3 linked regions of the Caenorhabditis elegans genome follow. The protein of the gene in region 2 interacts with the protein of the main gene of each other region in a pairwise test. Each region holds a gene or a part of one and is shown on either strand. Other genes may lie near its edges. The genes, in order: cki-1, cye-1 and cdk-2.

Region 1 (7,935 bases), on a different chromosome or scaffold from region 2:
TCCGGAAGAAGTGTATTAGTGAACGAGAACAGTTGGTGTGTATATCGTTCAAGTGGGGGTGACTAGGGGACAATTTAGTGGAAGAATGTTAATTAGGATAAGTGACCGATTAGGTGGCAACATGTGTGAACAGAAGGCTTCATGATACCTCAGCTGGTGGCAGTTTTTGAGGAAATTTGTTTCAATTGTATGTTTCACAAATTGCTGCATTTAAAAGTTCAAATATAGAAAAGACCACAATTTGAGCAATTTAAGATTGTCTAGAAATAAAATCACTCGTCTGATTTTCTACCCTTGGTATATTGCCAACTTCACTATATTTCAATTCAGTTATTTTTCGAGTTTAAACTTTTGAAAAAATGAAACTAAAATTCAACTTAACCCCCCATGTACAATTTGATAATCGTAAAAAGATCAGAACTGGTGGTATTGGCTGTATGCCAGCTCCTTTTGATAACCATTTTTGTCGTCTTGACTGCCGTAAACCTGTCAAACTGTCAAAAAACCCAACTATTTACATATGACCAGAAAAGTAGAAGTTGAAAGCATCTCTTCTAGGTGAAAAGGTGTATTATATGTACTTTTTTATCGCGAACTACTTCTTTCTCTCAGTAGTTTTAATTGTCTTTCATATACTTGGAGAAGTATGACAGGTTCTATGATATCAAAGAAAATTTGCATATACGATTAGTAGAGCGAGACGGGCGGTCACTCACATTTAAACTTTTGAAGAAGTGCCGATGAAAATGATGGGATTCTGGAGGATAAAGGAGAAAGTTTGATGGGATTGTAAATTTATTTAGATCGGTAATGTCTCATTTAATAAAATAAAACAGTTCTGCAAGATTTATCAGTGTTAACCTAGATCACAGTCAGTCCCAAATTACATTAAAAGTAAAATTTTCAATTTCAGAACCCCTCCTAACGATTTGAAGAAAACTGTTCTAACGTATGTGTAATTATACATTTCTTCAGAATACCAGAACAAGATGTTCCTTTTCCGCACTATTTCCGCGCCTAGCCGACAATCCTGTCATCAATCAAAAAACCGATGTCGGAACATCATAAATTATTAGGTTCCTCTTCTTTCGCTCATCGTCTGTCTCTATCCGCTTTCATACACATCAAATGTCTCTATATTGTGCCGCCTGTTTTAATTAAAAGGAAAACATTGAGCAAAAAGTGGAGAGTACAGACAATGTTTGCGCATATTGCAATCTAATTAGGTCCATCTATAGGCATTCCGATGATTTATGTACTGACTTGACCCTACCGACACAAGGGTGTTCCCTCTTGTGTATTCTTCGATAAGGGGAAGGAACCGCCAAATTTGCATACGTTCAGGCGAGCGTTTATGATGAATAAAAACGGAAGCCGAAAGAATACATCTGCCCTTTTTATGCCTTGTTGGCAGCCGGTTTGCATAGATAATATTGATGTGTGCATGCAAAAGAAGAAGCCGATGACAAAGAAGACAGACGATTGTCAAAACATTAAGCCTTTCATCTCACCGTTTTATAGACTCACATTATGTACTGTATTCTTTTAGTGTCTTTCTAAAAATCTTTGTAACTTAAAATGTTATATATTGACAACTGGACTAGGTATACGGTACTTATTTCTCTCCTCACATTTGTTTTTCAGAACTCCCACTAAGCCAGTTCCAGTGCCTGTCACACTGATCTTGAGTTAAAGTTTTTGCAAAGATACTTTTTCCACTAAAAACCTCGTGCGTGAACAGTTTCTTATCGCTTCTCTCTACCGAACAAAGGTTCTCCAACGTCATCATTTTTCGATGATAAACAATGATTTCTACTTTTTTTGGTTTGGCACAACGCCAAATGTGTCATGTCTATTTTTCAATGGGAGTCTATAAAGTTGAAGGATTGATGAATCCAGTGGAAACCTCATAAAACCATCAAGCTAACTGTGTGGCGCAACCGTAAATCAGGCGTCACTTTATCGACCACCATCACTTCATTTTCTCACTCTTTTATTTCTGGATTGCAATTGGTACCAGCTGGTTGAGAGAGGGTAGGAACAGATTGAGAACTGTTCCAAACAACGTTTAAGTGCGTATTTGACACATCTGTGCACACATAGGTCTCCTTCTTTCCCCATTCTTCACGCGAACGTTACAATGTGTGAGGATCGATTGCATACGGACCATGTCCCACTCTTGACCGGATTGAGAGAGGTCATCCAGCGGAGCGAGATGGCATGCCAACACTAATCCACAGGAGGTTATTCAACTCACTATTGTTTAACGGACATACCTATTCACAGAATATTCAATGAATATAATGAATGGGGAATTGGAGCACAAATTTGAATTTCTACCAAACGAAAGACTGCAAAAAATATATTTTGGTAGAAAGCACATACCGTATTTCTTCTATTACTATTGCACCATATTGTTAAACTGAAACGGTTTATGTCTCAGTTGCCGTTTGTCTTATAAAAAAATTGTCAAATGTCAAAATATTTATTATTTGTTTTTTCTATAGTTTCGTAATTTATTATTTAATGATAACTTTAATATAATAAAAGTAGTAGGGTGCAATACCATTCGATGATATACAGTATTCTCCGTTGACAACACACTACATTAAAAATTTAGAGAATTAGTTTTAGAAAAAATTTAAAAATGAACAATTTCTTACGGAAAATATATATAGAGATTCTTTACAGAAGAAAGTTTTCAGAAATTGTTGATCCATTTCAAAACGTTTTGAAGAGCTATTTCAATTCCCCTTTTATTCAATTCTTTCACTTTAAAACCACATAACTCATTACTCCAAACCACTAGCTCCATCTCTCTATCCACGTCACATAAATTTCTGTTCTTCTCCATCGATCATCGAACGATCCCGGAGAGGGACGTAGTGCCCCTCCACGCCACGTAATAGCCCTCCCGTTCCCTCTTCAAAATGTCTACTCGGAGATTGAATGCAAACCGCAATAAAAAGTCCGTTCCAAGGTCTTCTCGTGGGGAACTGTCTTTCTGGGTTGAATAGCACATAAAATATAAGAAAAGGGAGGAGGACGATGTTGATAATGTACTCTCAGAAAAAGTTATGCAATAAAAATGATTTATGGGACTAGAGAAGGTCCATTGATATGATGACTTGGTGTTATGTAATTAGTAATCAAACATGCTTATTTATTATTAGCATATACTCATAAACGTTCCATATTACTCAATTTGAATTAGAGAAGCCTAATCCGGCTGGTAGCTACCTAAAATTCACGCAATCTTCACGCAATGTCTATTTGGGTGGCAGTGGGTGAACCGGGAAAGATTTATTTGATCTTACAACATTTACAGAATGTTTGAAGTTTGAAGTTAATGAAGAATGTTAGAAGTTTCAAAATTATGCGCGGAATTGTACCACTTTTCGTGATTTCAGTATATTCTTTGCTGAAGTTACCAATGGAACTGCACCGTGTGCCAGTTTCTATTCGTCTTTTTTTTTATAAGTTGAAGAAAACACCAGAATACAGTTCTTAAAATAATTTCAAAGGGTTTATTTTTCTTTGAGTTGTTTAAAACAAATGGCAATGGGAAAAAAGAGTTACAGAGTTCCTAAACATGGATCACAGGGCTTTTGGAACAAACAATAAAACATTTGTGGAAACATGACTAGTTGAACAATTAAGAGAGACTCAGAAACTGTCGAGGAGATAATCAAATGATTAGATTCAACCCGTGGAATTGGGCAAAAAAAAGTCAAAATGAAACCTCTAGTATGGAGAGCATGAAGATCGAGTTCTGATCGTTGGACGACGAGATTTTGGAGTGAAGATCACATTCACCGGAGACAGCTTGTTTGGAGACAACGAATTCTTCTTACGGGAAACTGCCATGAAGTCGGTCATCTTCTGCTGACGCTTTGTTGGGGTCTTCCGTGGAGTTGGTGGCTCTCTGAATTGCCACTTCTTCGGTTCCTCTTCATCTTCGAACGAGCTGTTGGGATCCATCAGCGAGGGCTCCTCCTTATCAGATGTGCTCGGAGAGCTCAATGGAGTCAAAGTCGTTGAGCTGATGTCCAGCGATGAGCATGTGGTTCTGACAGTGAGAACTTTGGTTCTGAAAAATGAAACTGTTTAGTAAAATAACTATGAAAAATTTATAAAATTCAATTACCTGTAGAACTCCGGAACACAATTCTCTGGAATAACTTCATAAACGAATCCAGCAGAGCTTGGGAGGGGAGTCTCCAGTTCAAAGTCGAATCCCCATTTCTGGCTTTCTTCCTGGCGCATGCGCTTAACAGCATCTTCAAGCCAAATTCGAGTCCTGGAGCGTTGCTCGGGCGTCGGACGACCGAAAAGGCAACGACGAGCAGAAGACATTTGAAAAGAGTGAGGAAACCTGGAATAATAATAGTTTACATAAGAATGCATATCAAAATCGCAGTAAGAAGAAGAAGATGAAGTAAAATCATAAGTAAAATTGTAAAAGATGTGACGATGCTCTCAAGCGAGACGCCCTCCCGTCAGGAACACACATACATTTGAATATATATCCATCGAGGGAATAGCGGAAAAGAGGGGAGATACACGCCTTCCACGAGAAGGGGTGGAGTCATATGCGCGGAGGCAAAGAGGGTGTAATAGAGGGGTACTGAGGTGGTGGCCCGGTCATCAAAGTGCCCGAGGTCAGCAGTCGGAGAAGAAGGGGAACGGACCAAACAAATATTCAATGCGCAACGACTGGTGGCACCGACTCGGACCACGAATGAACGGAGGGGGATCAGATTTCTTTTGGAATGCCGTACTTTTTTGTGCGGAACCGAAGTGGTCAGATGAGAAGCATAAACATTTCGGAAAGTTCTTAGTGACGAGAGATATCTGATTATAGAGACGCAGAGAGAAAAATTAGTGCTCCGTGATTATGAGGAAACAGATGACAGATTGCACTTTTGATGAGGGCACTCAGTCAGAGATCTAGACAGTGAGAAGCTTTCGTATTGAAATGCTCAGAACTATCAAGATTATGGTTTACGAGATGTATTAGAAAGGTGAAAGGTTTTGACTAGTGAAGTATGGAAAAATGTATTTTTTTCTAGAAGAGAAATTATAAACAAATTGGCTTGCTCATGTCTGTCTCACTCCTTCTGTCCACTACAATATGTGTCATTTTTGTAACAAAAACATTTCCCATCCGGTTCTTCTTTCTACTCTTTACTAAAGAGGCACCTTCGTGCTGGATGGTGGTACGACTATGACTAATTGGATAAATAAATAGAATACCGTTGTGTTGGATGGGAGGAATGTATATCAATAAGATGACTAGTCTAAGGTGTATAGTTGGATGGGTAACATGATAGGAAGAAGAAGCAGTGATAACAACAATAACAGCCGGAAAGCAATACGGTACATTTGGTGACAGTGAGGAGCTCTGTTCAAATAGGCGGTCTCGAGTACTAGATAGTTGACCCTACGATTGGTCAACAAATAATATATGTGAAAGAAGACTGTGTGTTGTTACTTGTGATTAGGAAAAGGAACAGACAGAGAGACGACTAAGTGACCGACATTTTTCAAAGAAAGTAAAAACACAGGTGGGTTCTATGATTCACACCAGTTCTGTCTAAGCTCTTTGAGCTCAACTCAATTTAAAGAATAGTTATGGAAATGAGGCCTAGTTTTAGTTAGATACCATACATTACAAAAAAGAGCCAATTTTTAAAAAAGAAAGAAATTATGAACTATCGTAATACTTTAGAAAAGTTTTAAATCCTAAAATAATTCAGAAAAAGTCTTGGCAATTTGTCATTAAGAACTACCAACCGGCTGCTCGATCTCAACTCTCAACGTTTTGCACCGAGAAACGAGCATCTGTCCGGCTGGTAGATAGGATATGTGTGCGCAGAAGGGATTGTAACGAAGAGTGGTGTGGTTAGCTGAAGGAAAAGAGCCAGATGTTCGAAACGTTGAGCCTCGACCAGCATAACAAATTATGTAGCACGTAATTATGAAACCATTCACGGTATAAGATGAAGCTCAACCAGAACGGTAATGAGAAAAATAAGAGAGAGGAAATTAGCTTTCCGTGGGAAAAGCTTAGACACATTAGGAAGATGTTAATGTCATTAAGGATTAGAGGTGAAGCCGGAATAAATTAACAGGTTAAAATGAAAAATGAGACCACCCAGTGAAGCCGCACCTGTTAACTACTTCTTTTCGGAAAGAACAGATCCAATAAACATATCGGCGAGTTACAAGGGGGCGGAAAACGAACAAAATGCGAGAGAGACAGCTCGTCTCTTCTATACTTCGCTCCGCCCATATTTTCCGTTTCGACGCCGCCCCTGGTGTTTGGCACGTTGCCAAGAACAGAGAGAGTGCTGAAGAAATAGAGACGCAGCGTGTCGCATCAGTATCGCTGCCCCGCCACCACCCGATCATCGCAACTTTTGTGTTATTTCGTTGGTATGATTGAAGCATGAAAATAGTACGGGAACTGGTGGAAAGTTAGGTTCTGGCGTGAAATTTGTTGATAAGATTACTGCTATCGTTATAATAATTTTGGGTAATAATGTAACACCTTTTGAAGCACTCTAGTACTTCAGTTTGGTTCTGGCAGTTATCAGCGAGAGAAATTTTGAAAAAGTATTACCACGAAATATGGTTTTTTGCTCGGTGACTGTACATTTGTCAAGTGATAGAAAGTTTTGAAAGTGTTGAATAGAAAGTGGCTGACTGACGACCTGCAGGTTGTTCTTATCAATAAGTTGAATAGTGCTCCAAATGGAAAAGACATGTATATGCACATAAAGAAGCGAATGATAGTTCTTAAGAAATAAACGTCATGTTGAAAATAAATTGTCGAAATGGTTACTGAACAAGGATGTGCAAAAAATATTTTTGGCAAATCTACAGAACTGCTGATTTCAAAATGATAACTCAACTTTTCGAATCAAAAACTAACATAGATTTATATTGAAATTTTTCCAATATTTCTATGCCAAGTTTATTTTTATTTTTAAAAAAGGATCAACGTGCTCAAATTTGCAGTTTTGTAGATTAGAGGAAAAATTTTACAGCCCAGCTGCACAAGGACATCGCATAGTTTTTTTAAAACAAAAATCTAAAATTTCAAAATTTGCAGACCCTTCAATAAATAATTCTAACCTAACTTTCTCTTAGTACTTTGATACTGCATTTTCCCTTTCACTAACCTATCCCTTCCATGTTTGTTTCATTACTTAGAATCTTATCTTTATATTGAAATCTCAAATACTTCTTGTGAGTACACCGTCTTAAAACCGACTAATTCATCATCATCTTCATCAAGGGATCGTCTCAGATCATATGATGCCGAAACGGGTTTCAGATCTCTTGAAAATTGAAACGGTTTTCCCAGCACACAAACAAACAACTTCATGAATGAGAAAAAAGCGGCTTCATCTCATCCATTGACACCGTTTTCCCGCCTAGATCCCCGCCAAAAGATGTTGAGGGAAAAAGGAATTTGCGAAGAAAAACATAAACATTTTAGCAACATTTTCTTGCGAACACACATGTTGAATGTGGGGTAACTGGGAGGCCGGATAAAAGAAATAAATTTTGTCAAATTCATGTAATTTCTTTTGTCTTTGAGTTCCGAACCACTTGTGCCACTCGGTGAGAAATGAGAAGATGAAACTAATTTTCGAGGGAGGCAACAACGAACTGATGGAAATTAATTGGGTTTTCAAGAAACTGTGACACGTTCGAAGAGTTCTTTTTAAGTGGTTTGCGGTTTGGGGTATGGCTCCGAGCTCATGGCTTTTTACAATGTTGTACTCTAAATTCTCGAACGTTTTTTTTAATATGTGCAAACAACTGACTAACCAAAAATTTTGACAAACAGAAAGACAAATTACAGGAAGCATAGAACGTGGACCACCAAACATGTGTTTGTAGTCAACTTTGATTAAGTTTGAT
Region 2 (10,483 bases):
GTTGACATTTATGAGTGTTTTGTTTTAATGGTTTTTAGTGTATTTCTACATTTAAACAAAATCCTCAAAGCTGGAGCAACTCCACTTTTAAAAGTTATAATTAAATTTGGCAAATGTTGAACTTACACATCAACTTCTACGAGCTCGCATTTCTTAGATCCGTATTGTTCATTATTTTGATTTTCATCCTCTAAATCATCATCATTTGTTTCTTCTTTCTTTCGTTTTCCTTTTTGTTTATCACCTTTCCCGTCTTTCAGCACAGAACCACCACGAGCTCCACGACCATTTGAGCTTGCCGAGCTTGATCGTCTGAAATATGTTAACTATTTTTATTTTTAGCCAAAATGCAAACTATTGACTTTAGGAATTTGTAGTGAATAAACTTTATCAGCATTAATTTCACTATATGTCATTAATTATACCAACTCACCCATCTTTTCCTTCTTCATTTCCAGAACTACTTGCAGTTTTCTTTTTATTGTTATTGTTACCCATTGATGATGCAATATTGTTTGTCAATGAAGATGCCATTGGAGGTAGACCATCACCAATAAATCCAATAAGATCACATCCTTTTACACGGAATGCTAATGAATTCTTTGTTCGGTACATAACAGTAACCTCAAGAGTCATCTGGGATCCTGGTGGGGTATCCATTATTGCTTCATTGCATAAAAGACCAGATGTATCTGTTGATCGTGTTGTGATCACATTTGTTCCGATATCTCGCTGAAAAGTTGAATATAAAAATAATGAAATGTATAATTTTTCGTTTTTTAAAGTATTGATTCGTCTATTTGAATTCCCTGCAAAATGATAAGCCACGCCCACAAACGAAAAATCGTCTTCGAACTACGTTCATTCCGTCGATTATTGGTCTTGCAACTCACACTTTGGAGCAAATTCAAAACACTTACTAAAACTTAAAGAAAAACGTTTTGAAAGTAGAATTTCAACTTTTTCACTTAATATTTACTTTTCATTTGTGGTTTTTCGGAATTTCAGACTTACAGGCGCAATTTTGCTTTTGTTGCTCTAATATATGGTACCCGGTCTCGACGTGACAATTTTTTGTTAATTACAAGCATGTGTGTGCCTTTAAAGAGTACTGTACTTTAGAAATTTCGTTGTTGTTGAATTTTCATCGATTTTTCTCACAATTTGTGTTGAAATGTATGTGTTTTTAATTGTTTTTTAAAATTTTGTTATTAATAAATAAATATATTTTTATCGAAAACTAGGAAAAATCGATGAAAATTTTGCAGCAATGAGTTCTTAATTACAGTACTCTTTAAAGGCGCACACGTTGTTGTATTTAATAACATTGTCGTGTCGAGACCGGGTACCGTATTTCTGGTGCAAAAATCGCAATATTTCGCGTCTGTGGTGATGAAGCAAAATCTATTTTTTACAATTTTCAGAATTGATTTAATTTTTCTTACTTTTGCCCGTTTCGAATGTGGTGCAGTATCAGGTGTCTTCTGAATAGGCATCATTGGTACTGAAACTATGTCTTCGTCAGTGAAACATGCTGATATAGCAATGGTAGCCATATGAGAACTAGATCTTTTGGATCTTTGTGGAGTTGTTGAAAGGTTTGAAGATCCAGATGATGATGATGAAGAGGCAACTGTTTCAAGGCTTAACTTGCGTTTTTCACTCGAAAAAATATCTGTGGACTCTGAAATAATATTTAAATTTCAAAAAAAGCTCTTTAACTACGAAGATACAAACCTTTACGCTTTCTTTGAGCTTTTTCTGTGCTCTGTGGTGGTTTCATCAGTCCATTTTCCTTTTTGGAAGGTGTTGGACTTTTTGATGTTGTCATATCGGATGAAACAGGCGATTGAGCATGTTTCTCATCTGACATCTCTTCAACTTTTAAATCTTGTTCATCGATTAACTTCGGAGAGAATGATGATGTTGACTCAACGACAGCTGGAAAAATAAACCGTGTTTTTTCTTCAATAAATATTTTTTATCAAGTTTTTATGAGTATATTTACTTTTCTTGGACTCTCTGTTAAAATTTCGAACATTCTTCTTATATTGCGCTCATAATTTTTTTTTAAATGTTAATGAAGAGAGCTATTTGCAGTAGACTATCTAAGCAATTTAATTGTTAATTTTTAATTTTTAGTGCCTTCGCTTATCTATTTTGTTTTTAATAGCCTGAATTTCCATTTCCCTAGAGGATCTCTCGAAAGTTTTGAAATTATTTGAGCAGCTACGGTAGATGCGACTTTCGTGCATTTACGCGTGGCGGTGTTCACACTGATCCCAAAAATTTTTGTTTGAAATAAATTGCTTTTTTTTCGCAATCTTTCATTCTTATTCATTGCTTTTCCGTTTACCATTTTCATACCATTTTCATCTGTTTTTTCCACTTTTAAAAATTCTTCTCGCATTTTATCAGTAGGCTCGGATATTTGTTCGTCTTTGACAAGATCTTCTGGTTTTTCATCAATTTCTAGTTGTATTTCTTCATCAATTTCCATTGGTTCAATATCATCATTCTCATCATCCTCATCTAACTCGCCGTCTTCTTTTCCAGAAGTTTCCGCTTGATCGTGAGCTAAATGCAATAATTTTCAAGATTTACGAGAAATATTTTTTTTTTCTTAAAAAAAATTTCAAACGAAATTTCAAAAAATTATTTAGAAGTTTTTGTTAATCATTGAAACAAATAACGTACCGTCATAAGTTGTTTGAAATTCGGGGGTTTCCTGCAACGGTGGAGGAAGAGGTGGGGGCGCTGAAATCGATGGTTTGTCTTCCGAATCGGACGGACTTTCATCGATCTGTAGACGACCCTCGTCCTCATCGTCTGACATGTTGCTGAAAATTTGAAAATTAAAATTTTACAAAAGATTTAATTAAAGCAATAATCAAATTTTTAAAATACAATTTGAAATGAGAGAAATTTTAAAAATAATAGATATAGTTTTGAAGGTTTTGATACTTGAAAAACGTTATCCTTATTTGGTAGCTTATGAAAACAAAACAAAAACAACTGCAAGATGTGTTTCGGATGTTTTTTCTTCATTCTCTCAATTGTCTGACATCTCCGGAGGCAGTTGCTGTGCCCTCTATTGGTACGTGTCGATTGCCTGCGTCTCTGTGTCAAGAGGCACCCTCTCATCTCTCTGGAGACGGCAGAGAAACATGAGATCGTGGTAAGACCATCAGGGAGGACGGCGGCAAATCGGAGGGAACGCGCGAAATGAGCGCGCGATTTGAATCTAGAGACCATATGACGGAGGTTGTCTGTAGTTGACCTTTTTCGGTTTTATCTGAACTTTCACAGATTGATTGCGTAATGTCCACTAGACATTCGTTATGGTATAATTGATATTTCTTTATTAATTTTCATTAAATATCAGATATCAATCTCTAAATTTCAAGCATAGAAAGTATCGTGCAAACATGAACAGTTTCATGAGCTCAGTTTATATTTTAAATTCACACCTAATTCAAATCTTAAATAATTTTTAATGGAATAACTGCAAATCTAAATCTAAAACCAAAACGACCTTCATTCACTTGTACCAAATCTTATCTGATTTTATGAATTTAAAATCTTATTCTTCTTCACCTCTGACTGATAGTTTATGTTCTCCCTATTGTGTACACTCAAAACTGCACAACATTTGTTATTTGAGCCAGTTTCAGTCGTTATCTTCCTATTTATTTGTTTTTGAATATTTTGAATAGCTCGACTTGATATTTTCAGGGAAATTTGATCAAAATGGCTGGAAGAAAGTCATCAAGGACGGCTGAACGTGTCCCCACTACACAAAAGCCAGAAAGAAAATCTGCTATTTTGTAAGTTGAATTTAGATGGATATTAGAGAACTGATAATTTTTAGACTTTATAAATATTTATTCATCTTTCGAAAAATTTTAATTTTCAGATCTCCACATGACGAACTGCGTGAACGTCTTCTGGAGACTGCAATTGATATGAAGGAAAATATTCCACAACGAAATACCCGAAATTCGAGCGTTGGAAGTCAGAAATCAGATTGTTCTGAGACAAGAAAACGACGAAGTACTAAGGTTTGTGTGCTTATCAGTGAACATTTTAAGATGGAACAAGGGAAATGAAATAGAGAGTGATAAGAAAAGTACTTTTTTAAATTATAATATTACTACTTGTACAAATGCCTAAAGAGATTTTTGCTTCTAATTTTTCGAAAACCGTAAGAAAAACTGTCAAACGATTGCGGATTGTTACTAAGCTGAATGGGGGTAAGGAATACATTTTAATTTGCCAACAAAATTAGCAAATATTTCTAGATTTAAACACATTTTGCTATATTTTCAGTTTTGAATTTAACTTATTTAGGTAACAGCATTCATCCAGAAACACAATGTCTAACAAATTAATTGAATTTCGTGGGTAACTAACTAACAGTCAAACGCTCAATATTGAGTAGTCTGGGTTCTACAGGAAACATCTCTCGTTAAATAATTTGCAAACAAAGTTTGCACTGAGAAACAGACACTTTGTATTTGACCAGTGTAATAGTGCGCCAAAATGTACTCATTCTCCCGTTTTCTTTTTTCTTCTCTCATCTCATGTTCACACCAGCACCTCAGATTTGCGAGAAAATAAGACGCAGACATCGATAGTCATAGTGACCAGTCTCTTTCGTATGCAGAACACAGTTTTGTGTCCGCTTTGTATGTCCAATACTTGTTTGCCGTCTGAGTCTCACTGTTCATCTGGGGGTATAGCTCAGTGGCAGAGCATTCGACTGCAGATCGAGAGGTCCCTGGTTCAACTCCGGGTGCCCCCTAAATACTTTTTGCATTTTGGCTTCTGCTTAGAATCATGACGATCAAATAAGTTTCCTAAATTTGAACAAAATTATATAGTGGTTCAATCTTGTTTGATAATTTATTAATTTTACAGGAAGGTCCAGCTGCAAAACGTCATTCGGGCGAGAAGCATCGAAATGGTAGCCGCGAAGATTCTTTGGAGTATATTAGTGGTAATCTAGTTTTATTAGAGTAAAAATGATATTCTGTTTGAAGAATATTCAGATGATCGTGAAGTTGGATCTTCATCATCACAATCATCAAGAACCCGTGGACAACCACTTCCAGCTATGCCTGAGGAAGAAGAAGTGTTTGATAAATCATCTTCATCTGATAATCTTGCCGAATCTGAAGAAAGTCATGAGATGGTCCGATTGGAAGAGAGACAGGATATTGAAGAAGAAATTGAGGATGATTTTGATGATGAAGAGGAGGATGTTGTTAACGATAAAGAGGAGTACGAAGAAATTGAATCTGAAGATGAAGATGGTTAGTTTCAAAAATACTCATGATGCGTTTGAAATTATTAGCATTTTAGATCAAAATTTGATAAAAAATAGTGTCTCCAAAGAGAGTATCAGTGTTTCAAGCTGAAAAACCTACCCAATTTTGATACAATTTAGATTATCCTGTCCAAAACGAAGGATTTGCCGTTACAAAACGGCTCATGAACGACGAACATATGGTTACGGCTCCAACGTTTCTCAGCACAGCAAAATGCGATGGAATAGGATCACCAACAAAAGTTTGGTCTCTTATGGTCAAACGAGACGAAATTCCACGTGCTACACGATTCTTGCTTGGAAATCATCCGGATATGGATGATGAAAAGCGACGTATTTTAATTGATTGGATGATGGAAGTGTGTGAATCAGAAAAATTGCACCGAGAAACATTTCATTTGGCTGTTGATTATGTTGATAGATATTTAGAGTCATCAAATGTTGAATGTTCAACGGATAATTTTCAATTGGTCGGGACGGCTGCTCTATTTATAGCTGCTAAATACGAGGTAACAATCAGGGGTTTCACTGACACATTTTTCGTTTTTTTTTTTTAGCAAAACCGAAAAAAATTCTAAAACACTTCAAAATCGATAGTTCTCAAACGGAATTAAATATTTATATTACGATTTACACCCTTTTTCAAAAATCCAAAAAAACCGGCAAGCCTGGTAATAATTTTAATAAAATATTTCACCGATCTAGAATTTGGGTTCAATTAATTTTTTCACAGTATAGATTCACATTAATTTTTGTTTTTTTTTTCAGGAAATTTATCCACCTAAGTGCATCGATTTTGCTCATCTCACCGATAGTGCATTCACCTGTGATAATATTCGAACTATGGAAGTTCTTATCGTCAAGTATATTGGGTGGAGTCTTGGGCCAATCACAAGTATTCAATGGCTCTCAACATATCTTCAATTACTCGGAACCGGCAAAGTAGGATTTTAAATTTTTTGTTGATTAAAATATTTTTTCAGAAGAACAAGTCTGATCACTACGAAGAGCAAAACATGTACGTGCCAGAATTACTCCGTTCAGAATATCTTGAAATGTGTAAAATTCTCGATTTTCTGCTATTTGAGATCGACTCATTTACTTTCTCCTATCGTACCATCGCTGCTGCTGTTCTTTTTGTCAACTATGAGCCAACTTGTGCTGTTGAGAAGGCTACCGGATTTATGCAGGCTCAACTTGAAAAAGTTATTGAATATGTTGAACCGGTGTGCCGGGCGTTCGCCAAACAACGACAACTTCTTGACGATGTTATTCCAAAACATGAATCAATAAAATCGGATGATTCACACAATATTCAAGTATACGTTAAAAGGAGTTCAATGGAACCTATTGTGGTAGGTGGATATATAAAATTCATGAATTAGAGGTTGTTTTCATAATTTTTATTTTTCCAGAAAAGCGAACGAGAGAGGATTCAGCATTTAAAAGCTCGCCGTCTTCATCCGCAACGACTTTTCTAAAATAACCCGCAATAGGATTCTTTTATCATCGAAATTTCTGTAGATTACTTACTTCAAATAATCATGCACACAGGTTGTCCCCGTTAATTCTTTCCTTCAATCTCTTTCTCTCTTTCACCTAGTCTGTGCCATTTCAATATGATTGCACCCCGGAAAATATCAAAAACTTCACTTAACAAGTGATCCCATATTACAAAAATATTCAAATTCCGAAAATCGAAAGATGCATTTCCGTTTTATTTTACCGAATTTTGATGTTTTTGTAATGTGTTTAAACCCCTTTTACAATTAACTTATTAATGTTTTGTTTTACTCATCTCACTTCCCCTTCTTACTTTGTGCTTATTTTATGTTTTAGGTTTTTTTATTGTATCATAAAACTGGAAATTTTGAAATAGGCTTCTTTCTCCCTAAACTTTTTTAACAGGTACTGTAACTGGTACATATCCTCTGCCCCACCCCGCTCCCAACTCGTCTTTGTCTGTTTGTTTATACGAAATACAATTTTTAACGAGTATGCGGGTTTCTGTTAGCTTCAACAATACGATCATTCAAATTTTAAAATTAAGAAACTATAAAAGCACAGTATTTACGTGAGTTGAAACAAAATGCCTTCTCCAAATTTCTTAACACTGAAAAATTTTCGGAAAAAAAGCAGAAATTACTCCGCAAAAAATTAAGGACATCATTCCAATATTTTTTTTTACTTATTTGATGAAAAATTAATATATTCCAATAAATTAAAATGAATTATCATCTCAGGAATACTGTAGAATTACTTTAAGATTTTGGCTTATTTATATTAAGTGGTACGGTAGGGGTACTGTAGGTGTATTGCAGAGTTGTAGACACTGTAAATGAAATTCCAAAGAGCATAAAATTTATCAAAAAAAAGTTTGCGTGAATTTCTAATTAATGTTTAATCTTCTTTTTTTGTTAAAATTTGTTCAGGGTTTCTTATCAAAAAATGAATCATTATTTAGTTTCTTGGCTAAAACACTACTCATCTTCGTAGTTTCTTGCCGTGATGTTTCAAGCTTTGTTAAGTAAGTTTGAGTGAATTTCTGGTTTTGGTGGAATTTATTCTGATATCGAAAGCTCTATGTCTATTCAATCAATTGATGAAAATGCGTAAATAGGGAACTATGCACACACGGCGGCTCAGACTGATGAAGCTTTTCTAGTTTTGGAGAATGAGGTCTAATTGAGCAAATTTTCAGCAAAACTCAAAAATAATGCGGCTTTGGGAGCAGCTGCAAATAACTTGAACAAGTTCAGAAGTTCGAATCTTGGTAATCAGAGACGTTCTGTCTCAGTTGCTGTGACATCAACATCTCCGAAATCGGAAAAGCCAGTAGCCAGGGAACATATGATTTATGATGAAACTCATTTTGTCATGCAGAAGAGTTTGGGAAAACTTATCGAAGAAAAAATCAATCCAAATGTGGCAAAATGGGAACAAGACGGGCGGTATCCAGCACATTTGGTATTCAAAATGCTTGGAGATCATGGTGTTTTTGGTGTTAATAAACCAGAAGGTAATACGCTTTTTTTAGCTAACTTGTTTTATTAATTAGTTATCCATGCAATATTATTATTTGATTGGACTTTTCAAAACGAAAAAGTGTTACCACAAAAAACCAAAAGCGTAGATTTCAGAACTTGGAAGAATAACTTCCAGGTTACAATTAGAATATCAGAACACCAACTTTTTGGGTTCTAAAAATGTCAAGAGCCTGTAAAACTACATCATTCTAAAATGTTAAAAAGATAGTACTGGTGGGAGGAAAACCTTAAAGATACAAAAAACTGCAAGAATAATAGAATTAATACGGTGTGTTATTTCTCATTTTTACCAACGATTTTTAGCATTTGGTGGAACTGGAACGGATATTGCAATGGCAACAGCAATTGCTGAGCAGATGGGAGCAATTAATTGTGGATCAATTCCAATGTCAGTTATGGTTCAGACTGATATGAGTACACCTGCACTTGCACAGTTTGGTGAGTATTTCCGTTTACCACCAAAATTAGAAATAATTGAATATTAGGTTCTGATGCTCTTCGCGAAAGATTCCTTCGTCCATCAATCACTGGAGATCTTGTCAGTTCATTGGCTGTATCTGAACCACATGCTGGATCCGATGTATCAGCTGTGCACACACACGCACGTCGTCAAGGATCTGACTTGATAATCAATGGTTCGAAAATGTGGATTACAAATGGTGGTCAGGCGGATTGGGCGTGTGTTCTTGTGAACACATCAAATACATCGAATGTTCATAAGAATAAATCGTTGGTTTGTGTTCCATTGGATGCTGTTGGAGTTCATAGATCAACTCCACTGGATAAGTTGGGAATGAGAAGTTCGGATACTGTTCAGTTATTTTTTGAAGATGTTCGCGTGAGTTTTGAGACACAAAAAACAATTATTTCGTTTTCAACAATGATAATTTCAAAATACCAACAAAAAAGTTCACCACGAGTTTTGAATATTAGTTTTTCGTTGATTATTTGTGCTTGAACATTCTTGCATCAATTCAGGACCTTTACCTAGTTGCGTGATTACAGTACACATATTTTCACTTTTTAAAAGCAATAGTAAGAAATTTATTTCAATTTTAAACTAAAATCCTGCAGGTCCCTTCATCTTACATAATTGGAGAAGAAGGTCGTGGATTTGGATATCAAATGAAACAATTCAATGATGAACGTCTTGTAACTGTTGCTGTTGGCCTTCTTCCACTTCAAAAATGTATTGATGAGACAATTGAATATGCAAGGGATCGATTGCTTTTCGGAAAGACTCTTCTTGATCAACAATACATTCAATTCCAATTGGCTGAGTTGGAAGCAGAGCTCGAGGCAACTCGTGCACTGTTGTATCGAACTGTTCTGGCACGAAGCCGTGGAGATGATGTGAGCATGTTGACTGCAATGGCAAAATTGAAGATTGGAAGATTGGCTAGAGCTATTACTGATCAGTGTTTGCAGGTAACAAATACAAAACTTTTCACAATTTCTAAATGATATTTTATAGGTGTGGGGAGGTGCAGGATATTTGAATGAAAATGGAATTTCGAGAGCTTTCCGAGATTTCCGTCTTTTCTCGATCGGAGCCGGTTGCGATGAGGTCATGATGAGAATCATTCATAAGGCTCAGTCACGTAGACAACTGAAGAAGGCATAGGATTGATTTATTCCGTAGCTATTCTATTTTCCTTTCTGTAGTATTCTCGCAATAAAATTTTTTATTGTGTGTTCAGTGATTTCAGAGATCTTATTAAAGTGAAAAAGCCATCAAGGTTGACGCATGCCTACGTTCTAACGTCTACCTCATACTTGCCTAGGTGCCTACCTCATGCCGTCTACGCCATACCTGCTTATATCTTTTCAAACCTACAGGAAGCTTAAAGCTCCCCCTGATGCCCTGACTATCTAAATCCTTGCCTTATGATGCCTGCCTACTTTTATGTGAAACAGTTTTTATTTATTTTTTAAGTATTTTGAGATGTGCGTACTGTTTGGTTGTGAAAATTGCAAATTGTAATTGGTGAATTTTTATCTTGAAGAATTGAATTGTATACGTTAATGATAGAACAACTATTGTACAAGATACTTAATCGCGTACTAAATATAACATAAGTGTAGAAACGAAAATTTATGTCAAGTA
Region 3 (12,485 bases), 3.4 Mb from region 2:
GGTTTGCCAATTTGCCGGATTTTCGATTTGCTGGAAATGTTCAATTCCGGTAAATTGCCGGTTTGCCGATTTGCCGGAAATTTTCAATTCCAGCAGTTTGTCGGTTTGCCGTTTTGCCGGAATTTTTCAATTCCGGCATATTGCCGGTTTGCCAATTCGCCAATTTGCGGAAAAATTTCAATTCCGACAATTTGCCGGTTTGCCGATTTGCCGGAAAGTTTCAATTCCGGCAAATTTCCGGTTTGCCGACTTGCCGGCTTTAAAAATCGCTTTAATTCTAACTACAAATTTTCAAAAATTTTCGCTTCTTTTCCCAATACGATGACATCATCCATGACTTGATTTCCCCCATTTTTCGGTAACTTTTGTAGCCTGTCTTTGTGTGGTGTCTGTCTCATGTTAAAAACTCGCAAACTTTGAGAATAGCTAATCGGAGATCAAGAGCTTCCCCCCTCCCGACAGGAAGTTGGCTGTGTTTTGTCTTTTCATCTGTTTTTCCGAGGTCCTTTGAAATGACGACAATAACAGAAAAAAGTGTCGGATGGGGGAAACGGACCAACTGACATTTCTACCACCCACATAATTTGATCAGGTAAATGTGTGAAGAAATCGAAAAGAGAAAGAGAGGTAAGGGAGAATTTGTTGCGAAATTTTGATATTTGGATAGCTCGTTTCGATACCGACATTAACAAACAGAGAGCTTTTGTGGTAATTTGTGTTGTTTTCTTTTGGTGAAGATCGGGAGAAACCAAAACTGCAAAACTTTGAAATTTACTAGAAAAAAAAACAAAGCTCTACGGTATTTACCCGGTCTCCACACGCATTTTTTGTAAAGTACAAACGGGTGTGCGCCTTTAAAGAGTAGTCTCAAACTTTCTTTGCTGTGGAATTTTCGTCGATTTTTCATACAGTGCATTTTTTCCCACTTCTACGACTTTAAAGGCGCGCGCATTTTCGCGCAATGGTCTCGCCACGCACATCCCATTGATTTGTTGAGCGCGTAGCGAGACCAATGACGGGACCATTTTTTTATAAATGCGCGCGCCTTTAAAGTCGTTAATTTTCCAGTTAAAATTCCAGTTAAGACACTAAAACCTGCGAAAAATTGTGCGTATTCCAGGCGAAACTGAAAGCTTGGGTCCCGTAACGAGCAAAGCTTCTCAGCTACCGTAACCGCGAGTGCTCCTCAATTTCCTCCATTCTTCATAGTGTAAAAACTAAAAACTATTTCTCGTTTCATCAAAAAATGTATTGCTAAACTGCAGTTTGAAGTTAAATTATGAAGTTAAATTAATTAAATAATATATATTACGGGAACACAAAATTTGGAAAAATGCGTATTGGACAACATATTTGACGCGCAAAATATCTCGTAGCGAAAACTACAGTAATTCTTTCAATGACTACTGTAGCGCTTGTGTCGATTTACGGGCTCTATCTTTTGAAATGAGCCTTATTTTCTCATTTTTGCATAATTCTTAATATTCTACCGATAAAATTTTAAGTCATTTAAAAAATCGATACCGTAAATCGACCTACAGTAGTCATTTAAATAATTACTGTAGTTTTCGCGACGAGATATTTTGCGCGTCAAATGTGCTGTTTTTCAGAATACTGTGTTCCCGTAATAGACTAAAATGAAAAATCGCTGCCAATAAACTTGTTAACTACAGTACTTCTCTTTAAAGGTGCACACGTTTTTCAGCATAACGAAAAATTGTCGCTCCGAGACCAGGGACCCTAGTTTTGAGTTTAAACTTGACATTTTTTGAAAAATCGAAACGAATTTCCGTTTAATGTAAAACATAATTTTTGTAAGTTTAGCTTCACAACTCATAACACAAGTTTCCCCACGGGGGCTATCCGTACAATCAAATGTACCTTTACAAGTTGTTTGTTTGTTTGTTCTTCATTACCCACTCAAAACCCGAATTCATCCAATTTCTCACATAACCTTCAATAAATGCTCATTCTCCCAATACTCTCCACCTTTTCACGCAATTTTTTTCTTTGGCTGGCTCAGTTGATATCAAATATCGAAGCTTCAAGAAGTTTTTTTTTCTACCTTTTCCACAACCCGAGAACCAATTAAACGCGCGGTTTGGTGCTGGTGCTGATGCTGTCGGCTTGTGTTGAGCCGGGGCTCATTGAGCAAACAAAGGGGTAGGGGAAGATCGCGAAAAGATCCCCCCCTATATCCACTCACAAATCTGAGCGGTTTTCGGCGGGCGGGGGGAAAAGTAAGAGAGTATACTCTTACAGGAATGAAAAAAGGAAAAGTTAGAGGAGAAACCTATTGTTCTTGTTCTATAATAAAATTGAAATGGAAAAGAAAAAAACGATTAAAATAAAGTTTGGGTGGAGGGAAATCAGGGAATATAGGATCAGACGACCCGCAAATGATTGTGACAGATCGAAAAAGCCTACCCATACGGGATGAAAAAAAGGTGAGGGGCTTCAAAATTTTTCATTAAAATTAAAATTAAGATTTTTTTTTTTTCAGTTTAAAAGGTGAAAAAACCGGCAAATTATCGTCATTTTTTGTACTTTTTCAGCTGTTCCAACTGAAATAAAAATTTTCTTAATTTTAATGAAAAATATTTGTAGAAATTCCCTTGGAGCAAAATAATAATAATAAAAATAATAATGCGATAAAACGTCTGGAGCAAAATAGGTGGGAAAATTATGATACAAAATGAACGATGAAGCAGAAAGAGTGGGTGGAGAGCAAGGGAGACATCGAATTTTTTTTGAGTTTTTCAGAGAAATTTCAAAAATTGAAAAAAAAATGTTTTTGGATCAGAAAAAAGCATAAGAAAACATGTAATTTTTTCAAAAATTGAAAAAAATTACCAAAATTTGAAGCTATTTTTCTCAAAAAAAAATCAGAAAAGCGAAAATTCTCGATTTTCTCTAAAATCGAAATTTGATAATTTTTTTCAACTTTAATTTTTCCTAAAATAATCAAATTTCTGAAAAAATTTTTTTTTTAATTCTGAACATTTTGACCATTTTTTAGTTGAAAAATCTGTTTTCTCTCAACAAAATTTGGGAAAAAATTTAATTTTTTAGATAAAACTTTTTTTCCCGATTTTTTGAAAAAAATTGATTTTTGGAAAAAAAAATTTCCGATTTGTCGAAAAATATATTACAATTTTTGTAATTTTTTTCAGAAGAAAATTATGTTTTCTTACGTTTTTTCTCACTAAAATAAACGAAAAAAATTAATAATTTTTTTAGTAGAAAAATATGTTTTTTTTCTCACGAAAATGATAAAAACCTAGAAAAATTGAATTTTTTGAATAAAACAATTTTTTCCGATTTTTCAAAAATAGCTCAATTTTTTGCAATTTTTTTCTTTTTTAGTAGAACAATATATGTTTTCTCATGTGTTTTTCTTATCAACATGAACAAAATTTGATTTAAAAAATTGCGCTTTTTTTTTCGATTTTTTTGAATTTCTCTGAAAAAACCCAAAAAAATCGATAATTTCGTTCGATGACACCCTTGAAGAGGAAAGACTCGGTAAAAAGAGAGGACATAGTACACGATGTTTAGGTTATGGAGGACATGATATATTAGAAGATTGACTTCTCCTGATGATTGTTCAGCAGCGGTGGCGTCTGAAATAATTTTTTTTCATTAAAAAAATATCCAAATATTCCAGTAACTTTACCCTGTTCTGCGCTCGGATATCCTTCATCAAATCAGTGACACTCGGCCGGTTTTGGGTGAAACCGTTCTGTAGAAAGTAGCGATGAGAGAGAGCACCTTTCGCGGTGAGACGTCGCTCCGGTGGATAACGAAGTATCTCACGAAGCACGTCAAGACCATTTCCAGTCAGGCATGATGTTTCTTCGAGCTTCTTCAAATTCACCGGCCACTGTGGAAAGACTGCCTTGTAGTGGGGAAACGAGTCGACGCCTGGCCAGCTCTGCAAAAATTATTCGAATTTAAAAGTTTTTTGAATAATTTAAAGTCACGGGGTTCTGGCCTTCCTCATTAAATTTTTCGCGCTCCATCGACAATCACCGTGGGAAAGTCGTGTACTTCACACGGACAAATACATTTAGTTTTACAACTAAAATCGAGCTGCGACGCGACACGCAACGCACCGTAAATCTACCCGAGATATGGCCGAGCCAAAATGGTCTAGTTCGGCAAACTCTTCCATTTCAATTTATGAGGAAAGCCAGAAATCCGTGTAGAGTGTATTCGAGAAAATTTAATTTTTCAAATAAAACGCTTTTTTTCCCGATTTTTCAACAAAAAAATCTTTTCAAAAAGAGTTGAAAATTTTGGACTTTTTCTTCTTTTTAAAGGAAAATAATCGAAATTTATGTTTTTTTTTGGAAGAAAAACAATTCAATTTTCCGAATAATATTTTCACACTTCGCCATTTTTGTTTTTTTTTTTTGAAATAATAAAACACAAATATATTACGGTAACACAGAATTCTGAGAATGCGTACATTGAGCAACATATTTGACAAAATATCTCGTAGCGAAAACTACAGTAACTCTTTAAACCACTACTGTAGGGCTTGTGTCGATTTACGGGAACTCGATTTTTGAAATGAAACTTAATTTTAATATTCTATCGTTATTTAAATTAATAAATTATTTTAATTCATTTTAAAAATCGAGCCCGTAAATCGACACAAGCGCTACAGTAGTCATTTAAAGAATTACTATAGTTTTCGCTACGAGATATTTTGCGCGTCAAATAGGTTGCGAAATACGCATTTTCAGAATTTTATGTTCTCGTAATATATTTGTATTTTATTATTAAAAAAAAACATTATTTCAGTGGAACAAAAATCGCGAAATTTGAAGATATAAAACCTAAATTTCGATTATTTTCCTCTAAAACGAAGAAAAAGTCCAAAATTTTAAACTATTTTTCGTTTCCGAATACTCGATTTTTTTGTTGAAAATCGGAAAAAACGTATTCTATGGTTTAATTCAGTTTTTCACTAAATTTCGGGGAGGCGAAAGATTTCTGAAAAAAAAAATTTTTTTAGATTTTTAAAGTTCATCTCGCGCTTCTCTCGAAATCCCATATTTAAAAATTCTGCAAAACCCAGGAGTTGAGAAATACAGTACTCCTCAAAGGCGCACACGTTTTCACATTTCACAAAACCACTCGTTTCGAGACCCTGTGCCGTATTTAAAATCGCCAAAATATCGCATATGAGTGATATTGAAATGTGATGAATTATTTTCAAAATTAAATCTCATAAATCGAATATTTTCAGAGATTTTCAGTTTTTCTAAACACAAATTATTCACAGTGTACTTCTGGGACTCTAAATTCGAATTTTCCTCTCCAAATCGGTATAAACCTTAATATTTGGTGTTCCAACAATTTCAAATATCTTGAATAGCTGTGAAATCTCGCATTCGCCTGGAAACAGAGGCTTATTCGATGCAATTTCGGAGAATATACATCCCAGCGACCACATATCCAGTGATGTTGAATAACGTTGCGAGCCGAGCAGAATCTGGAAATATTATTTTAAATAAAATTAAATAATTGAATAAAATAATTTCAGAATGTTGAAAATACCTCTGGCGGACGATACCAAAGAGTTACCACCTCGTGAGTATAGTTTCGACTGGGGAACGAGAAATTTCTGGAATTAACAAAAAATTTGATTAGGAAATTCAAACCCCTTATTAAAATTTTCCTGATACCGAATATAAATGTGAAAAATTCAAAAAAAAATCCCTGATTTTATATTAATTTTTGAAAATCCGAAAATCCACCTAGTGTTAGATTCAAACGACACATTTTGCATGATAATCGTGTGGATTTACGAGATTAATATTTTTCATCTATTTTTATAAAATGTCCATACCAAATTTCCCGATTTTCATTTTTTTTTGTTGTTTTACATTGAAAATCTTGTGATTTTCATTAATTTTTCAATTTTTACTAATGAAAGGAAATAAAATGTAAAAATTTTGGTTGTTTTAATTAATAAAAAAATCATACATTAGTGGAAATCACCAGAATTTCAATGTAAAACATCGGAAAATCAGAAAAATCGCGGTGAAAATCAGATACAAATGGATGAAAAATATGAATCTCGTAAATCCACACCTGCGGCACGGTTATCTTCCAAATATTTTCGTTTGAAGTTAACACTATAGCACGTGTTTTCAGCTCGACCATTCGGTGTAATTTGTGCAAACACCGTCTCGCGCAAATGCAGACATTTTTGCATGCGCTGCGGTGAAATTCCTCTTGGCGAATTCAAATATGTTTTCACGCCTTTTTCGAAAATTTTCGATGCGTTGGTCGAGCTGAATACACGTGTATAGGTGAATTTTTGGATTTTAATAAATTAAATGGGGAGTAGAGTTTGTGTGTATTTTGCTTAAATATACTAAAACTGGTCCAAAACCACCGAATTTCATAAAGAGACTTCACAAAAAAATTCCAAAAATTTTTTATGGCGGGTCAGAATTTCGAAAAAAAAGGAGGCAAATTTTGCTAAAATCGAAAATTTGAAATTTCGCACACTTTTCTTTGTCACAGCCGCTGGATTCTAGTTTTTCTAAAATTATCATCCTTTAATCCTTATTTTGGTAGATTATCTCGCGGAAATTGGTTGATTGAGACAATTTTTAGACCTATAGGCATCCAAAAATGATCAAAATTGGATGCCTATCGACTCAAAATGTGTTTCAATAAACGAATTTCCGCGAGATAATCTACCAAAATAAGGATTGAAGGGTGATAATTTCAGAAAAACTAAAATCCAGCGGCTGTGACAAAGAAAAGTGTGCGAAATTTCAGATTTTAGCAAAATTTGGCTCTTTTTTTCGAAATTTTGACCGGTCATAAAAAAATTTTGGTTTTGGACCGGTTTTAGTCTATTTAAGCAAAATACCCAAAAACTCTACCCTCCCTGAAAAATAATAAAAGGAAATTTAAAAAAAAAATTTTTTTTCAAATCAAAATATTCGGTATCAGCAGCATAAATAACATCTATAGAACATTTTTTGACCTTGCCAATCCGAAATCCGCAATTTTGATGACTCCAGAATCTGAAACCAGAATATTCTGAGGCTTCAGATCACGGTGAACAATCCGTCGGAGATGACAATACGATAGAGCTGATAGAAGTTGCCACATGAATGACTTCACATAGTTTGGCGGAAGCACACTATTCGTTGGCTCAAGCATTTCCAGAAGATTCTTCAGATCTCGATCGATAAATTCGAATACCATGTAGAGTTTGCTGTCTGGAAATTGATTAATTAATTGTTTTAAATTTAAAACTTAAAGGTGGTGTAGTCGAATTTTTTATTGCTTTATTAGACCCAAAATTGCCTAAAAACACTGAATTTCATACTGCTTGAAAACTTCTCAAAAAAAATGTTATTATAGTTCAAAAAATGGCCTGAAATTAGTTAAAATTTGAAATTTGCCCGACTTGTCAAGCGGCTAGAAACTAACTTTTTTGAAATCACCGTCAAATTTTGAGTATACAATGTAATTATCTTGCGTTTTCAGCTCGATTTAGGTATTTTAAAGTCGATGGACGGTGAGAAAAGATTTTTTAATTTTTAAAATCAAATCTCGCAGTCCATCGACTTTAAAATACCTAAATCGAGTTGAAAATGCAAGATAATTACATCGTATGCTCAAAATTTGACGGTGATTTCAAAAAAAAAATAGTTTCCAACCGCTTGGCAAATCGGTCAAATTTCAAATTTTAACGAATTTTAGGCCATTTTTTTGAGCCGTCATAACATTTTTTTTGAGAAGTTTTCAAGCAGTATGAAATTCGGTTTTTCAGACAATTTTGAGTCTAATAAAGCAATTTTAAAAATTCGACTACACCAATTTTAACATTTTAGTAGTTTTTCGATTTTTTGTGGGAAAAAATCGCATTTTCAGCCATTTCTCTAATATTTTGGCCACAAATTCTTTTTTTCTCATCAAAATCAACATATTTTTCATAAATCTAGGGGATTTTCTACTTTTTTCTCAATTTTTCGATTTTTTTCACTTGAATAATCAAAAAATAACATAAAATGTAAGGTCGTTCAATCTGAAAATAACATTTATTTTTAGAAATCCTAGAAAAATACCTTAAAAAAGGGGATTTTTCGAACTTTTCCGCAAAAAAAATATTACTTACAGATTGAACCAAAATTTTTATATCTTTTTATCAATTTTTAGCAATTTTCACACCGATTTTCCAGTATTATGAGTCTCATGAATTTTTTAAAATTTAAAATTTGAAACTTCAAATTTCAAATTAATCAGCAAAAAAAGCCTCACTTGCGTAGATAATATCGAAAAGTGTCACAATATTATCGTGCTGAAGGTCTTTTATACACGAAATTTCACGAAGGCACGTGCTCGGAATGCCTTCCTCGTCGCGATCGGTGCGAATCATTTTGAGAGCGCATTTCACGTTGTCACGCACGTGGATCGCCTTGAACACGACTCCGTACGTTCCTTCGCCGATTCGCCGGAGTGAGCAAAAGCGACCTTGCAGGTCTCTTTCTGAAATGGGAAATTATTTTAATTATTTATTTTTTATTAAATATTGAAAAAATGAAAATCTCGGAAAAAAGCTTACCTGGAGCGATATCGGTTGTCATATCCCGTTGTTTTCTGGAAGATAATTAAGATTTTCAAAAAGGATTTAACGGTAAAGAGTTTCTCAAAGAATGACGGGTTTTGAATTCTGTTTTCCCGCGCTACACGAAAAAGAACAAGAGACGCAGCAGGTTAGACAAAAGGGCAAATGAGACGGTCTACGGGGGGTGACCGGTGTAATGTGGTAAGGAAAGGACGCGGTATTAAATAAAATTGCACAAGAATCGATACATTTAACAATTTTTTTTAATTAAAAAAAAACACTTTTGAACAGGGAAACCCGTAGTGATCATTTAAAAATATGAAAAAAAAAATTAAATTTCAATAATTATTTGATGAAAAACTTAAAATTCTTAAAATTATATACTTTCCTAGGCTTAATAATCGCTAAAAAAACGTTTTAACGCCTCTGCGAACCAAATTAAAAATTGTTTTTAGGAATTGCCGCAATCACGCTCCACTGATAATCCTTCTCTGCGAAAAACCGAGGGAATTCAAATTCCAAAGGATATTCTGGAATATATTTATTTGTCGTTAAATTAAAGGCGATTTTGGAATAAAAATCTAATTATTTTCGACATTAAATTTTAATATTAAAACGAGAATTCTATAAACGCAGTTTATTGACTTTCTTCTCCCCCCTCGAAATGGGGAATAAAAAAACAAAAAAGGAAGTCAATAAATCTCCAACATCCAATTATTTTGCATCTGGACGCATTCGGAAACTCTCAATTAACCGCGCCGTCTTTTCGAAAGAACAGCTTTCTAAGATTTTGTGTATATATATATTGAATGTATTTATTTGTTTTTTTTTCAGGCTTAGACTCCTATTTTCTCGAGTAAATTCAAGTTAAAATGGGGTCCTGGTACGATCGAATTACTACTACTATTACGGGCAATTTAGCGATTTTTCGCAAAAAAACACACTACCTGGTCTCGACGCGACAAATTTTAGTGAAATGCAAACGGGTGCGCGCCTTTAAAGAATACTGTAATTTCAAACTTTCATTGCTGCGGATTTTTTTCTATTTTTAGAATTTAGGCATGTTTTTTGAATAATTCTTAGTTAAAAAAATGCATTCGAAAATTTAATAATATTGGTTTTTTCTGAATAAGAAACACAAATATATTACAGTAGCACAATATTCTGAGAATGCGTATTGCACAACATATTTGACGCGCAAAATATCTCGTAGCGAAAACTACAGTAATCCTTTTTAAATGACTACTGTTGGTCGATTTAAGGGCTCGATTTTTTGAAATGAATTAAAATATTTTTTTATTCAACGATAGAGTATTAAAATTAAGTTTCATTTCAAAAATCGCTCGCGTAAATCGACACAAGCACTACAGTAGTCATTTAAAGAATTACTGTAGTTTTGATATTTTGCGCGTCAAATATGTTGTGCAGGATGCATTCTCAGAATTTTGTGTTCACGTATTGGTAGTTTTTGGTAGTTTTTTGAAAATATCTATTGAAAAAAACTTTTAAAAAATCATTTAAAATCAAGAGAATCCCAAAAATTCTGAAAAAAAGCTACCATAACTTTTCATCGCGGCGAGACCCGTGCCCCTTTAGTAGAACGGGTTACGGTAACGGAAAACTTTCTTTCGTTTCAAGACCCAAGATCGCAATTTTAAGTCAAAATTTGAATGAAAAAATGCACTTTCTTTCAACTTTTTTCATTTTTCCTCCGAATTTTCAATTAAAATCGGCAATTTCCAGATGTCTCCCTCTCCACTTCTCCTCGTTTTTCATTTTTCTCCACACTCGCCGGTCTACATTCATGCATTTCTTCTTGTAATTTCTCCTGATTTTATGGATTTTTTTTGTTGCTCCCGTTACTTTACACACACTTTTACCCCCTCTAAGAATATTGGACACAGACGCCTGATTGCACAAAGAACTTGTAACACCTGATGAGCATTTTTTCGTGTGTGTTTTCTCGAGCGTCCGAGATGATGGATTCGAGTGACCGAATCTCTCGGCTCATTTTTCCACTTTTAACCAGCATTTTTTTCATAAGCTTTTGTACAAAATTCTTTTTTTTTCGACTTTTTGTGGAAAATCTGAAATAAAAATGTCTCAAAAATGCATATTAAATTTTGCAAATTAAAAAACAATAATATCTCGTTTAAATTTTCAGATAAATGTAACTTTCTAAAAAAAAGCTCACATTTTTGAGATTCAAATTGTGCTAAATTTTGCCGGAAAATTCCAATTCCCGCAATTTGCCGTTTTGGCGATTTGGAGGATTTTTCTATAAGACCCTTTTCAAGACCCCTTTGCTGATTGAAATTGAAATTCTAGAATTTCCAAAAAAAAATGTGCAAAGCCACAATTTGGCGTTTCGGCAAGTGCCCTTTTTCCGGCAAATTGTCAATTTGCCGGTTTGCTGATTTCCCGATAAATTTCACAAACCGTTTGCCGCTCACCTCTGGTAATTTGGTAATAAGAAATTTTCCTTCAAAAATAAATGAAAAAATTTCAATTTACGGATATGCCGTCAATACCTAACGAGACCCAACGTTTGGGGGGCGAGCATTTTCATTTGGCATGGGAGCGTGTTTGCACCTCGATTTCAAACGACAATTTTTTTTGCGTTTCCATAACAAAACCCTCTATCTTCCCGTATACACCATATTTGAAAATTTTTTTGCTACAATGCTAAAAGTTCAACAATCAGTATTCACCTAATCCAATATACATATCTCATATCAATTAAGTACGGGGCGCGGCGGCGGTCATCCTTTCATGGCAAATGACGCTTTTCGTCGCTTTATTTGATTGATGCCATATCCCGTTACATACGTTCTATTCAATTTCTTGTTCTTTCAGCGAACGACTTCTTATGCGCCCAGCTGCTGACAGATATCTGAACGAGGTATGGTTTTATTAATTATCCTCCTTCTTTTTTTTTTGTTAAGAAAATCACACTTTGCACTTGTGTTCTGAGCTCGGCGCTTCCTCCTTGGAAGTGTGGTGTGTAAGAGAAAAAGAAATTTATGGTTCAAAGGGAGAAGAGAACTTGGAAGATGGAACGGGTCGAACATCAAAACCTTTTTATTTTCATTTTTTATAACCTAAACGAATTCACTTATTTTCTCACCCGTTCCGGAATTTTCCAATAGTTTGAAGCATGAGTTCACAAAAATTTTTTGAACAAAAAAATTAAATTTTAAAACATTTCAAAAATGTTTTCGAATTTTTTCATTCACAGGAAAATAGCAATTATCGCTATTTGGAAGTCGACCAAAGATTTAGCGAATTTTTAAATTTTATTTGTGATTTTTTAAATTTTTATCTGGAAGGCTAAAAGCTTGTTGATGTTGAAAATTTTTCTCTGAGAAAATTTGAATTTCCCGCCAAAACATTGTTAAAGATAATTTGAATTTCAACCAAAATTTTACAGAGAAAATTTGAATTCCACGCCATATATTTTTTCTGAAAAAAGTTCTGAAAAAAATCTAATTTCCTGCCAAAGCTTTTTTTCTGAGGAAATTTAAATTTTCCACCTAAATTATTCTTGACAATTTGAATTTCCCGCATATATTATTTTTGAAAATTTGAATTTGCAGCCAAATTTTTTTTCTGAAAATATTTAATTTACCGCCCAAAGTATTTTTGAAATTTTGAAGTTCCCGGCAATATATTTTTTTAGAAAATTTGATTTTTCCCCCAACATTTTTCAGCAAAATCTTCAATTTTTTCCTTTTTTATATCTTTTTTAAAATGATTTTTTGCCATATTAGCTCCATAGAAATCATTTATAATCATTTCCCTAGAACTATAAACTAAAACTTATACGAGTTACAGTAACTCGCGTGGTGAGACCCATTTGCGTAAGCTATCGCAACAATTT

Evidence for each region.
Region 1: the proteins of cye-1 (region 2) and cki-1 interact in a two-hybrid assay, tested with the Caenorhabditis elegans proteins (one study listed by BioGRID).
Region 3: the proteins of cye-1 (region 2) and cdk-2 interact in binary tests that used the Caenorhabditis elegans proteins (3 or more experiments, as listed by UniProt).

What each region holds. Positions count from the first base shown.
Region 1 is NC_003280.10:7,807,680-7,815,614, reverse strand, and holds cki-1 (Cyclin-dependent kinase inhibitor 1), read right to left. Parts: upstream 4,376-7,935; 5' UTR 4,357-4,375; coding exon 4,148-4,356; intron 4,091-4,147; coding exon 3,745-4,090; 3' UTR 3,510-3,744; downstream 1-3,509. UniProt on the Caenorhabditis elegans protein: Negative cell-cycle regulator that functions at the G1-to-S-phase transition. Required for suspension of the cell cycle in dauer larvae and starved L1 larvae.
Region 2 is NC_003279.8:6,777,071-6,787,553, forward strand, and holds cye-1 (G1/S-specific cyclin-E), read left to right. Parts: upstream 1-3,735; 5' UTR 3,736-3,750; coding exon 3,751-3,827; intron 3,828-3,916; coding exon 3,917-4,061; intron 4,062-4,732; exon of another isoform or gene 4,733-4,804; intron 4,805-4,920; coding exon 4,921-4,999; intron 5,000-5,042; coding exon 5,043-5,315; intron 5,316-5,449; coding exon 5,450-5,838; intron 5,839-6,097; coding exon 6,098-6,271; intron 6,272-6,312; coding exon 6,313-6,684; intron 6,685-6,744; coding exon 6,745-6,810; 3' UTR 6,811-7,326; downstream 7,327-10,483. Other genes in the region: pqn-21 (C2H2-type domain-containing protein), read right to left, coding at 127-312, 434-732, 1,446-1,684, 1,738-1,941, 2,368-2,577, 2,698-2,836; acdh-5 (medium-chain acyl-CoA dehydrogenase), read left to right, coding at 7,838-7,856, 8,031-8,348, 8,680-8,814, 8,862-9,214, 9,451-9,804, 9,851-10,000. UniProt on the Caenorhabditis elegans protein: Essential for the control of the cell cycle at the G1/S (start) transition. In association with cdk-2, regulates proliferation, quiescent state and cell fate during the development of several cell lineages.
Region 3 is NC_003279.8:3,406,164-3,418,648, reverse strand, and holds cdk-2 (Cyclin-dependent kinase 2), read right to left. Parts: upstream 8,637-12,485; 5' UTR 8,625-8,636; coding exon 8,603-8,624; intron 8,527-8,602; coding exon 8,299-8,526; exon of another isoform or gene 7,254-8,298; coding exon 7,016-7,253; intron 5,638-7,015; exon of another isoform or gene 5,636-5,637; coding exon 5,569-5,635; intron 5,504-5,568; coding exon 5,345-5,503; intron 3,935-5,344; coding exon 3,677-3,934; intron 3,624-3,676; coding exon 3,579-3,623; 3' UTR 2,281-3,578; downstream 1-2,280. UniProt on the Caenorhabditis elegans protein: Serine/threonine-protein kinase which, in association with cye-1, regulates proliferation, quiescent state and cell fate during the development of several cell lineages.